2 linked regions of the Drosophila melanogaster genome follow. The protein of the gene in region 1 purifies or fractionates together with the protein of each later gene. This does not show direct contact. Each region holds a gene or a part of one and is shown on either strand. Other genes may lie near its edges.

Region 1 (4,453 bases):
ATATGTCCATATATGAATTTATATGAATGAAGTATATAAAAAAAACAATATTTTAATTTAAAACAAAAACAAACTAAATGTGCTGACCAAAGTTGGGATTGAACCGCAACCACCAGCTGTCTAGACAGACACTTTAGACAGCTTGACTACAGACTTCCTTGCATATATTTGTTGTACACGTTTCTGACTGACATAGTTTAATAGCTATGAAACTCAGCTCGACCAGCAGATGGCGTTTCGTAGCTGCTGCGACTTCACACAATGTTCGCTAGATGTCGCCGATATAATTTTAGTACAAAGTAGAATAGCGCCATCATCATTACCGGCCAAATATGGAACTTTATAAAACGCAATAGCATACTTTTAGGCTATAAATATAAAAAAAATTACAAATAAATTACATTGGGTAAGAATTTTCTTGCTCCTGAACAGTTACTTAGCTCTTAAAGAGATGAGCAATATTGAAAAGCAGATTTTCGGTAATCCCTTAAGCAACACACTCTGCATCGTACCTTCGATAAGTTTTGGCCAGCGAAACTTGGCAATCCTTTGCGGATGCAATTTGGAATTAATTATGGCCCGCTTGCTTGCCACTTGCCACTTGGCCGGGAACTTTTTGGGGGGCGAGCGGAGAACGGCCGACGCAGCCGCAACTTCGGACCAGCTTGTGCTGAGGTTACAAATTCTCATATGTCGCCACACACACAGGACGAAATGTGATGGACAGAAGGACATTTGGGGGCGAGGAGGTTTGGGTGGATTGGAAGCAGTTGACACAAGAGCATTTAACGCTTCAGCACGTTTTCAATTCAATTTCCACATCTTGAAGGCTGCGCCAAGGAAGCCGAGGCGTTGGAGCGTGCGAAAACTTAAGCAGACGCACCGAGCATGACAAACGAGGCTAAGGACAATGCCGGCAGGATAATGATAATGAAAGCGAATCGTGGGCGCTGCAAGACGACGGGCGTGGCCGGATAAAAAACGGAAGCTAGTGCTGCTTAATGAAGATGCCTGCAGTGGCAGCCTTGCAATAAATCAACAAATTACGCGGCAAGGGCTGACTAGGGGATTGTATCTCGCAGATACCGAGATACTTGGCCATATTTGTGCGCAGAAACAATAAGTGAACCGCTTAAAAATGCATAAATCAAGGCCCAAAACGCAGCCAAGGGAACTGAAACAAAAGCGAAGCGAGAAGCAACTGTCAAAATGATAATCGCCAACAACTGTTGAGGCTGTCTTGGCCTTATGACAAATGTTGTCGTCTCGAAAAGGGGGTGTGTGTGTGTGTGTTTCCTAAAACACCACCCACCACGCACTGGCCGAAATCAATGTTTGAAAAACACATTTTACTTATTAGTTTCGCTATGTTTGCGGAGGACAGGGTCACTCAAAATAGCGCATCATAATGGGACAGAGCAGAACTGAACGATTTCGATTCCGATCCATCCATGTCGGTCATAATCGTAAAAACAAATGCAAAACGCAAAAGCCAAATTCCTGACAGCACATTCCCCCAATTGTCAACCCCTTAATCCACTTGTTTTCCAAAACCCATAATCCTCTCTTTGACGGCTGCCCATTATCATAATCTTATTGTTGGTGGTGGTGGAGATTCCAGTCCAGCCCAGCTGACCATTTGCTGAAACACTTTTCGACATCTTTTTGAGTATTTTACTATGGGATGCAATCTCAAAATCGGATTATCAGCGGTCATGAAAACAGTCTTGGCAATTAATCATTGCTTAAGTAAACATAAATAGTAAATATGATTAGTATGGCAACAGTGACGGAATAATTGATTGGTAGATGAAATAAATTCACTTATGAACAAAACTTTTAGTATCTCTTTCTTAGCTCAAAGAAATATCGATATAATAAGTCAGTTGATAATGGTGAGACCTAACTTGAAGCTTTAAATTCGAGTTCTTGCGTCTATCACTTTCGTTTTTATGGTATTACTATCACAGAAGTTAGAGAGATATATAAATTATAAGCCTTCATTTTAATTCTTAACGTATTATACAAAATGGGTGAATTGCAAGCGGGAAAATCGCCCTTTAAGACAAGAAACACCTTTGATGAAAACTTAAAGATCTGGAGTGGTGGCGAAAAACGCAGTTTATTCTCACCAGATTTGTCCATTGGAGAAATTATCTTTCAACAAATGGAGCGCAATGCTATGCTCACTGCCCAGGTACTTAATAAATTTACAAGAAACAATATTTATATTCATCGAAACAAAACCTTTAGATTTCAGTTACAGAAAACACTGAGCTGACCTGGAAAGACATCCAGACAAACGCGATGAAGGTGGCAAGTTATATGCGTAAACTGGGTCTGGAGCAAGGTGACTTTGTGGGAGTCATTGGCAGGTTGACCACTCACTTGACTGCTCTGGCCTATGCCTGTTTCTTTAATGGAACTCCTTATCATGCCCTACACACCGAATACGAACAATCTGCCATCGAGAGACTGTTCGGAATAACCAAGCCACGCTTAATCTTCTGTGATGGAGATGAGTTTGAGAAAGTTCAAGCAGCCACCAAAGGCCTTCAGGTACAAATAGTAACCATGCGTAATCACCCGGCAGGAATATTGAGAATTCAGGATATTTTAACCACTCCCGTGGAGATGAACTTTCGACCAGTGCGACTGAAAGACGGTACTGATCAACTACTGGCCATTCTTAGCTCTTCGGGAACATCCGGCCTTCCAAAGGCAGTCACCATTAGCAATAGTCACCAGATTATTGGGAGTTTTCTGTAAATATTACCACCTTAATTTTATACACCCATCTAATTTATTATTTTCAGACCCGTGGATAGCTCGATTATTCAGTATAACCCAAACACTTTGGATTGGGCATCAGGCATCACGATGACCATCAATGCAGCCGTGTTTAGCTTGACTAGTATAATTGAAGATTGTGACTTTGATCCTGCCAATTTGTGTGGCCTAATTGAGAAGTATCGAATATCGATGGTGTTCGTAAGTTCCTCGCAATTGGCGATGCTGTCCAATTGCCCGGAATTCTATGCGGCGGACCTATCATCCGTGAAGTATTTCTTTTACGGCGGATCAAACTGCTCACTGGAAGTCCAGAACAAAATTCGCAGCCGTCTAAGCAACGAATGTGTAAATTTCAGTTATACACTAACCGAGTTGAACAGCCCCGGATGCCTAAACTTCAACTTCGATGAGAAACCCAATTCAGTGGGTCGTCCGGTTAGAGGCATTCAAATCAAAATAGTCAACGAGCTGGGTGAAGCACAAGGACCCAATGTCGTGGGCGAGATATGCTTCAATAATGGTCAGAAATGGCCTGGTTACTACAAGAATCCGGAAGAAACGAAGAAGATGCAGGACTCGGAGAACTGGTTTCACACCGGGGACCTGGGCTACATGGACGAGGATGGATATTTGTTCATTATCGATCGCTTGAAGGATATGCTCAAGTATCAGACCATCATGTATTACCCCAGCGAGATTGAAAGTGTCATCGCTGAAATGCCAAATGTTGTGGAAGCTTGTGTCTTTGGCATTTGGGATCCCGTTTATGGAGATAAGGCAGCCGCTTCAGTGGTCAAGAAACAAGGAACCCAACTAGAGGCCCAGGATGTTGTGGAGTATGTGAGGAAACGTATACCTGCCAAATTTAAGCAGTTGAATGGAGGAGCTTTGATTGTGGATCACATTATTCAGAGTGGCAATAGAAAAGCAAACAGAGCGGCCACAAAAGCTGAGTTTTTACGAATTATGGAGAAGAATTAGTTTTGCATATTTAATTATTGTAATGTTTATGTTGTATTTGTATTTTTATTGTATTTGTATTTGTATTTGTTGTATTTATCGTAAGCTTTTTAAGAGGTTCGCCATCTTAGGCATTTTTTCATATTCGCCGAGTAAAATAATACCGAAACACATATCGATTACAAAATCGTTAATACAGCTGATCTTTCGTAATTATGTACATTATTGCTGTGAAATAGCATTGCTGATACGAGGGGTTATAATAGCATAATTTACTTAAAAACTAATAATCGACTCAGCATTTTCTTATAATGGCTGAAATGGAAGTAAAACAAAAACTATTGAACGCGATGTGCACTTATGATGATAAACTCAAGATCTGGAGTGGTCGTGAAGCACCAAGTTTATTTTCGCCAAACTTATCAATCGGAGAGATAATCTTTGGGGATATGGTAAACAATCCGAAACTCATTGCCCAGGTGAGTTTCTTTTCTCTCGAAATCAGAGAAATGTATAGATTTGCATTGAACCACCAGATCTCGATCACGGAGGACATCGTACTCACCCGCGAAGATCTTCATATGAATGCGATGCGAGTGGCTAGTTATATGAGGAATATGGGCTTGGGGCAAACTGATATAGTGGGGGTCATGGGCAGACACACGACTCACCAATCAGCTGTGGCATATGCATGCTTCTT
Region 2 (7,674 bases), on another chromosome or scaffold:
CCGATGTTTTGGCTTCCGATGTGGTGACTGAGGATTGCGTGGTCGCTATTTCGCTCTTCACACTCGCTCTGCTGCTGACACTGCTCAAGGTGCTGGTGTTCTTCTTCAGGCTGTTTGTCTGGGGGTATTCCTGCTAAAGAGCTGGCTTAGTCTGATATTAACTACTGGGTAGTCAACTGGCTTACGTGCACATCCTCGGCCACAGGTCGCTGGTTGATGAGCGTGATGGGTGCTGCCGGCAGTGCCTCTTTTGATTTGTTGCCCTTGGCAATGTCACGGAACTCCTCCGTATATTCCTGTCAACAAATAGGAAGTTCTTCCATTAGCGGCCACACTGGGCTTCAGTAAAAACAGAAAACTCACCACAAATGATGGCCAATTCATGGCCATGTTAATGCCATGATTGTTCGACCACCATTTTAGGTCTTTCTGCTGGTCTGCATTGTTGATCGTGTGGGAGAACTCCTCGTAGATTTGGGGCAGGCTGTAAGTCATGTAAAAGTTATTTAAATGGATCAGTTAAACTCAAATCAAATTCAATTCGCACCTTTGCACTTTTGTGAGGTCCAGGCACGAGTGCACGTTGAACAGGATTTCTTTGAAGAACTGCAAACGCGTCTTCTCAAAGGTTTGGCACTTTTCAAACACGGATGTCATGTCCTCGATGTACACCGAATTGTATTTGGTGATTTCGGCAATCGCCTGCTCGTACTTTTCCCGGCACTTTTGCACTTGATCTTTGGTCTTTTGCACTCGATCGTGCATTTTCTTCACCTAATTAGGAAATGAGAAGTGGTGTGAGCATAAAATTAATAAATAAATTAAATTAATAGTTATACATACATATGTATAACTAAACTATTGCTTTTACAAAAAAGATCCTTACCTGATCCGGCGACAACGAGCTATCGGCATTGGCATTGCGTTCCTGATTGGTAGCACTGCGCTCCGTCTTGCAGGCCGAATGGTAGTCCGCTTTGGCCTTCTCGACCTTTGCCAGCAGCTTGGCCCAGGGTTTCTGGGCCTTCTTGAACAGATCCTCCAGGTCCTTGCGCTCCTTGATCTGCATAAGCGTGTGGTGGTAGTTCTCCTTCTGCCACGTCTTTATCTGGCTGTTCACATCGTTGCAGAGATTGTCCTTGATCTTCATGTGAACGTCGGAGATGCGTTCCGATTCCGTCAGAACGCCCTTCCAGGCTGCCTCCGTGGTTCCGTATTCCGGGCCTGAAACAAATCAGACATTCGTTATATATCTCTTTTAGCGTTTCTCAATTAACAACAGATTACAAGCGTGTCACCCTGTCGAGCTGTTTGCGGCTGACGTCATCGTGAGCCCCGCGGGTACTTGGTTTATCTAATCAGCCGCAGCCGCAAGATATATACAAACATACATATGTAGCCATATCTATAGGTATAGCAAATATAAAATGCCCGAAGAATAAGCGCTTGTATGGGTGCTGCGATGGAGGAACATCGTACATTTTTGGCATTTTTTATTGGGACCCCAAACACACGGCAATCAAGTTGATATGATGCTCGTCTTATAATTGGCAGTGCACGGAACTCGTTTGCCTAACGACTCACTATTCCCAATTCCCCCTGTGAAAAGGCACACAAACAGATATATAGAAATTGAGACGCTTAGCACACAAATAACTCGTTCTATTTTCTCGTCGCATTGATTTTTGAAACCATTTCAAGCGACGCTCTGGTGCCGGTTTGCTTTGGTGCCGAGTTATGGGCCACTGTCCAGCGCTTCTGCCTCCCAGTCTCCGTATCTGTAACTGTGAACGTATCTGTATCTGTATTTGTATCTGCACACGTATTCGTATCTGTATCTTTGGCTAGACGCGGCTAGGCAAATTCCTCGCAAATAAGAAAACTCGAAGAGCACTCGGAGGCGGAGGAAGTGATGGTAGTCGCTTTTGCAATTGCCCATCGCTGGTTACTGTGAAAGTGGACACTGAGAATTCCGTGCAGAGGCGGTCACAGAAAATAGCAGCAATAGAAGCAAACAGTACCAATGGGGCAAAGCGGTTTCCAACTTCGCAAGCGCTGTACTCGATTTCATTTTACGAAGAAGCGCGCACACTGTGCCGGACATCCGCTAAAAATGGTCAAAGACCCAATTCCGAAAACAATGAGTGAGTCGATGATTACCGCCGTTTTCGAAAATAGTATTTGGTAGTGTGTACTTATAGAAGTACATATATGAGGCAATAGCAAGGTAATAAAACCTTAAGAACCCATATAACTTATATATCAAAAAATAAAAATTGTATATTACTATAAAGCAGAAACCCACAGATATTTGATTCTTTATTTATTTATTATTTTCTCTTGTACAAACTTAAGATTTCCGCTGCCGAATTTTAATTGTTTAGAATGAAGAGTGTGAAGAGTGTATGCATATGTTTATGTTAGTTAATCCAAACACTTTGCCAGCCCCGCTCATTAACATACTTAAATAAATTGGTGTGGCGATTTTGAACCACAGTGCGCAGCTTTTGCAGAATACAACCGACAAAAACGAGGTAACGAAAAACGTAAAAAAAACCATTAATAGCTTAAGCCACTTATCGCACAACGGCAACAACAATGCTCAGAATGATGTACAGAATGTAGAAAATAAGAACAGCCAGTGGGCCAAATAAGTGGTGGGAATTCAACGTGAGCGGGTCACTTGATGCTCCACTGGGCTTTTAGCTCGTGAATGAATGTGTTGGCCAACAGAAGGCTTCCACGACTGATGATGTCTCATCCCACAGGCCACAGCCACCCACATCCCCATATCTCACCAGATCCCCACCTGCCGCTCACTTACCTTTCTCAATGAGTTCACCCCATTTCTTTGACCAGGTGCGCAGGCTTTTCGCATATCCCTTCTCGATGTCGGCACGCTCCTGAATCAGTTGCTGTAGGTCATTGCAGAGTCTGCGGGCGAAATGAGACAAGAATCATAATAATGCAAACCGGTTTGAATTTTTGTCTTGGGTTTGGGCTTCGGGTGTCGATATATTCGGCTGGCAATGACCCAGCGTCGCCCAGTGCAAATACACAGAGAGAACCCATTACCTATTTGCTTAAAAAGATTGATTGTATCACTAGAAATCAAAGCTCATTAAAAAAGTTTATGAAATGTCCACATAAGTAGAACAAATTGAGTTAATACTAAGACCAATGCTTATACCAAGGTCTTTATATTTTCTTATTTTTTTCCCTTAAATAAATACGAATTGCTGTAAGTTTGCATTCAAAACAATGTGATGACACTGCATGACCTACTAAACACACAGAAAAGATACAGTTACCAATACCAATTGGTATGACAGAAACGTTGAAAAACGATTGGGTTGCAGCTACGAATATGTTTTTGAATATTAAGCCAATTGTATTATGTCGAGGAATTCGACTGACATAATGGCAAAATAAAGTATCTCTCTGTGCACCAAGACTCCCTGGGGATTATCCACTCACTTGTAACCATCCTCGATCCGCTTGGTGGTGCGTTTGTAGTTGCCGGGCTCCCAGAAGGAATCGCTTCCAGCCTGGAGGAGCTGATCATCGCTGTGGTGGGACATTTCCTGTGGATTCCAATCAATATTAATCAATCACATACGACGGGCTTAAGCGCAATAATCGTAAAATATGAGTTTTGTTACGTAAATAGACACTGCAGACATAAACAACTTCCACACAGCAGCAACAACAAAAAGCTCTTTGTTTATACGCAAACTTGTATTTTTGTAGTGTTTGGCTAAGACCAACAAATCGTTTGTTAAACGACATACTATAGTAAACCCAAACGAGACGGGCTCTGAGTAAATTTATTGTTTGCCTAATTTGTTCAATTAAGAAATTCCTTCACATTGATGCAACAGGCAGAACTTTAATTACTGGAGCCTTATCAACGACCATATTTCTTGACGGTTTCGCCGAGTGTCCCCATTGATAAAGACTGGACTTATCACCCCTGACTCATTGTGCAACTTTGCATGGTGTTCTGCCAATGGGTTTACTATTTTCAAATTGGAATATTAAGGTAATGTCTTATTTTAATTGAAAAAATTTTCTTCGAAACTAAAAAATAAACATATTTTTAACCATATTAAGATAAATAAATATTTGTAATTTATTTTGAATTCGATTATTTTTAGTATCGCTTTCAAATATTATTTCTGTTTTTTGAGATAAATAGATAATGTTGACAGATTTTCTTTCTGTGTAGCATACATTTTCCACCGTAATAGTTTCATCTTATCAAGGGAATTCTCATGCACCCATATTTTGTAACCCAGATAAATGAGATCCCAAAAATTGAATTTGAAATTTAATATACATACACGCTTCAGGTGTTCTGCATTTCTGATTGTACGCTGAACAGTTGATACGCTTGTTTTTACTCCGGACAAATTCGAAAATTAGAATTCGAAGCAATTCTAACAATTTGGCGTTCTGCTTGCTTTGATAGTGCTTTTTTCTTTCCTTTGAAGTTATTCCCATATGCCTCTGGAACCTTCAAATATCTATCAACAGTTCTGCAGCTGCGATTTATCTGTTTGGCAATGTTCCGATTAGGCAATCCTTGCGAGTGTAGGAAGTCTACTTTTTGACGTTCCAATAAGCAGCAGCTTTACCCATTTTTTCTTCAAATGTAGCTCGAAAACACTTTATTCGTTTATTTGTTATATTTTTTCAATACAACAGTTTATACTTGTCCACGCAATACGAAGAAATTTAAGCTGCATCTAATTCAATGACCAACAGAAAACTTTGATAAGAAAAGCATTTTGGACAATTAAAAAAAGCATGCAAATAAATGATCGATTTTGTTAAAAAAAAAACGATTGTGCGTCTAACCTAAGAGCAGCAGTGTACATCGTATTGGAGACCCTTACGTGTGACAACATTTAACATTTCAATTCTCTCTGTGTAGCGAGCTAAATTTTTTCATACTCGGCGATGGGAAATCTTGGTATCTTATCAGTGGAGTGGAGTTTCCCTGCATCAGCTGTTTGTAAACAATGCAGTCAGTTTGAGTTCCACTCGCACACACCCGTATGGTGAATAACGGTTATGTTATCAGCAGCATTGACCGGTTATATACATGCTTTCTTATTTATATATGTATAATAACCTCTGCTGAAGTTTAATCACCTACACACATGTGTAGATTGGTGATGTTGGGTCTGCTGAATGTGGAATCTTGTATCTTGGGTTGACTTGATTTGGGCGTCATCGACTCACGATGCGCTTACGGATTTTCCCCATCATCGGCTATAAATATAAATATAGGATCGCGGCTCAGTGCGATTTTCGTGTTTTGCGTGTGGAAATGGCCAGCAGAAAGTTTACAAACAGGTTGACGCATACTTCGCATATTTGTGGAGATAGATAAGCACCTTTACGGCGCTCTCACAAGCACTCGCGCCACACACACACACACACATACGTATATGCACATCTAAACCAACACGTCGCACACTTAGGCGATAAGAAATCCCCCTCCGCCAAACAACCAAGAAACTCGTTTATCTTTGAGATTGAACTTGTCTCGACCGTTTCTACTGTAAATATTTGCATCGTTTTCCAGCACACCTTACATAAGGTTTTCTTGGGGCGCTGCTATTAAAATGCTTTCGCTGTGCACTAATTTTTAGCAGGCGAAGCGTACGAAGAGCACTTGCTGGCCGATTGGATTTTGTTGTTGCCAGACGCACACCGACACGCACACACGCTCGGCTAGGTCACACAAACACACGGGAAGCGAAATTCCGCTACACCCAAACGCGTTTACATGAAATGTTCTGTTCTAAATTGCGATCGCTTTTGTTGTTGCTGCTGCTGCAGCTGCACTGCATTTAAATGGTTGTTAAATAATCCTTGGCTTTGGGTCTCTGGCACTTGTTCATACCGAAGCAGGGCGACAACCTACCAATAACAAAATAGCGTAAAAAAGCACTACAACTCGAGTGTGTGTCTGGAATCGCCAACTAAAAAAACTATGTGAGGTGTGACCGTTTCGCGACCATTCAAATACACCTCGCGGCTAGCTGAAAATACCGCTCCATACGAATACAAAAATACCGAAATGTATTTAGGATATACATTTATTTTTAAGACATCTGTACATATTTTTAAGTACTAGTTACAGTACTAGCACAAAGTCAAGTTTTACTTAAACCAATTTGTTCTTTAAGTCCTTAAAATACTGAAGTTTCCAATCAAAATGTGTACACTAATTATACATAGTTGTATTTAAATTCCAAGTAAAATAAAACAATAAAATAACAATCAATCTATAGTCAATACCGCTCCAAATTTTGTGGACAATATAAAAACAGAATTATTTTGAAATGTTTATTTTAGAGGATTGCTTAAAGGACTTCTTCCCGCGCCACATACGACAGCATAAACTCGATTTTGCGAACCAGTTGCGCCAGTTTGGTGCGATCCAATTGCACACTTCCGCTGGCCAAAGCGAACAGCTTCTGGAACTCGGCTTCCTGGGTATTCTTACGGCGACTGATTGCCTTCGTCTGCTGCAGCAGATAGAGAACATCACTAAGGGCGGCCAACTTGTGCTCCTTCGTAGCCATCAACTGGCGGGCATCCTGCTGCAGCTGCTCCCTGTTGTCGACGAGGAAATTGGCACCTCCTGCAGCACTTCCAACTGCAGCCGCGCCGGCAGGACCATTACCCGTGGTGATGGCTTCCATCTCTACGGAGACAATAGCGTCCTCAGCATCCTCGAAGTTGGTGCCGTACTTTAAGGTGGCGCTGAGATTGACAAGGTGGGCCACTGCCTCGCTGGCATTGGTCCTCTGTTCGCCGCCAAAGAAACGAGCCACACAGGCGTAGGCGCTTAGTATGTTCCACAAATTGTAGTGCAGGCACGGAGACGGAGTTTTCTTGCATATATCGGAGAATTTGGCAATGCTCCCGAAAATTTCGGGAACACGGCTCTCTTTCTTGGCAGCTTCTTCGGGTGTAGGTATAATCACAATCTTAGAGTTCTTCGGCTTGATCCACCAGGGCTTGTAGTCTGGCATAAGCTTCATGATATCTCCATTGGTGATCAATTTCTGGAACTCATCTTGCTCCTCTGTAGTTAACCGGCTCCAAACTTCATCCGCATCGTTGATATCAACGCCTTTCAGTCGAGTTGCAATGTCTTCCTCCAGGTCTTCATCCAGTATGTCCCCCTCGGTGACGTTTTCTTCCGCCTCATCTTCTTCTGACTCTCCTTCCTCGCCTCCATCCGAGTCCAAACTATTTTCCAGGCCATCTGTATCAAATTCCTGGGGATTGAAACCACTGTCCGTTTCTCTCATCCTCTTCAGTATGTCGTATATTTTCCGCATGTCCTCCTGGCTTTCCTGCGTTACCGTGTTTTGGGTCAGCTCGTCCTGAATGCAGGACTTGTAGAAAGCCTCGGAACATTTAAGGTGCTCCTTGGACTTGTAGCATCCCACGCTGCAATACAAAGCATTGCACTTGGGACAGGTGTACTTGAAGGACACCTCGCGACAGCTGCAGGAGATTAATATATATTGAACCGCTATAATTAATATTACTTGTTAACTACTTACAAGTGACACTTTTCATCGGCTTCCGACATGGTCAAACAAAATGGAATAAACAAAATAGTGCGGTCGCCAACAGCTGATCGCT

Evidence for each region.
Region 2: the proteins of CG5568 (region 1) and Synd purify together in Drosophila melanogaster (affinity purification with mass spectrometry, with the first as the bait; one large-scale study listed by BioGRID). This does not show direct contact.

Annotation. Positions count from the first base shown.
Region 1 is NT_037436.4:5,869,569-5,874,021, forward strand, and holds CG5568 (uncharacterized protein), read left to right. Parts: upstream 1-1,932; 5' UTR 1,933-2,029; coding exon 2,030-2,197; intron 2,198-2,253; coding exon 2,254-2,765; intron 2,766-2,816; coding exon 2,817-3,774; 3' UTR 3,775-3,950; downstream 3,951-4,453. Other genes in the region: CG18586 (uncharacterized protein), read left to right, coding at 4,065-4,232, 4,290-4,453.
Region 2 is NT_033777.3:20,831,135-20,838,808, reverse strand, and holds the start of Synd (syndapin), read right to left. Parts: upstream 6,011-7,674; 5' UTR 5,936-6,010; intron 4,413-5,935; exon of another isoform or gene 4,344-4,412; intron 3,585-4,343; 5' UTR 3,582-3,584; coding exon 3,478-3,581; intron 2,935-3,477; coding exon 2,825-2,934; intron 1,225-2,824; coding exon 887-1,224; intron 775-886; coding exon 548-774; intron 485-547; coding exon 364-484; intron 297-363; coding exon 186-296; intron 134-185; coding exon 1-133. Other genes in the region: CG31223 (uncharacterized protein), read right to left, coding at 6,378-7,533, 7,593-7,621.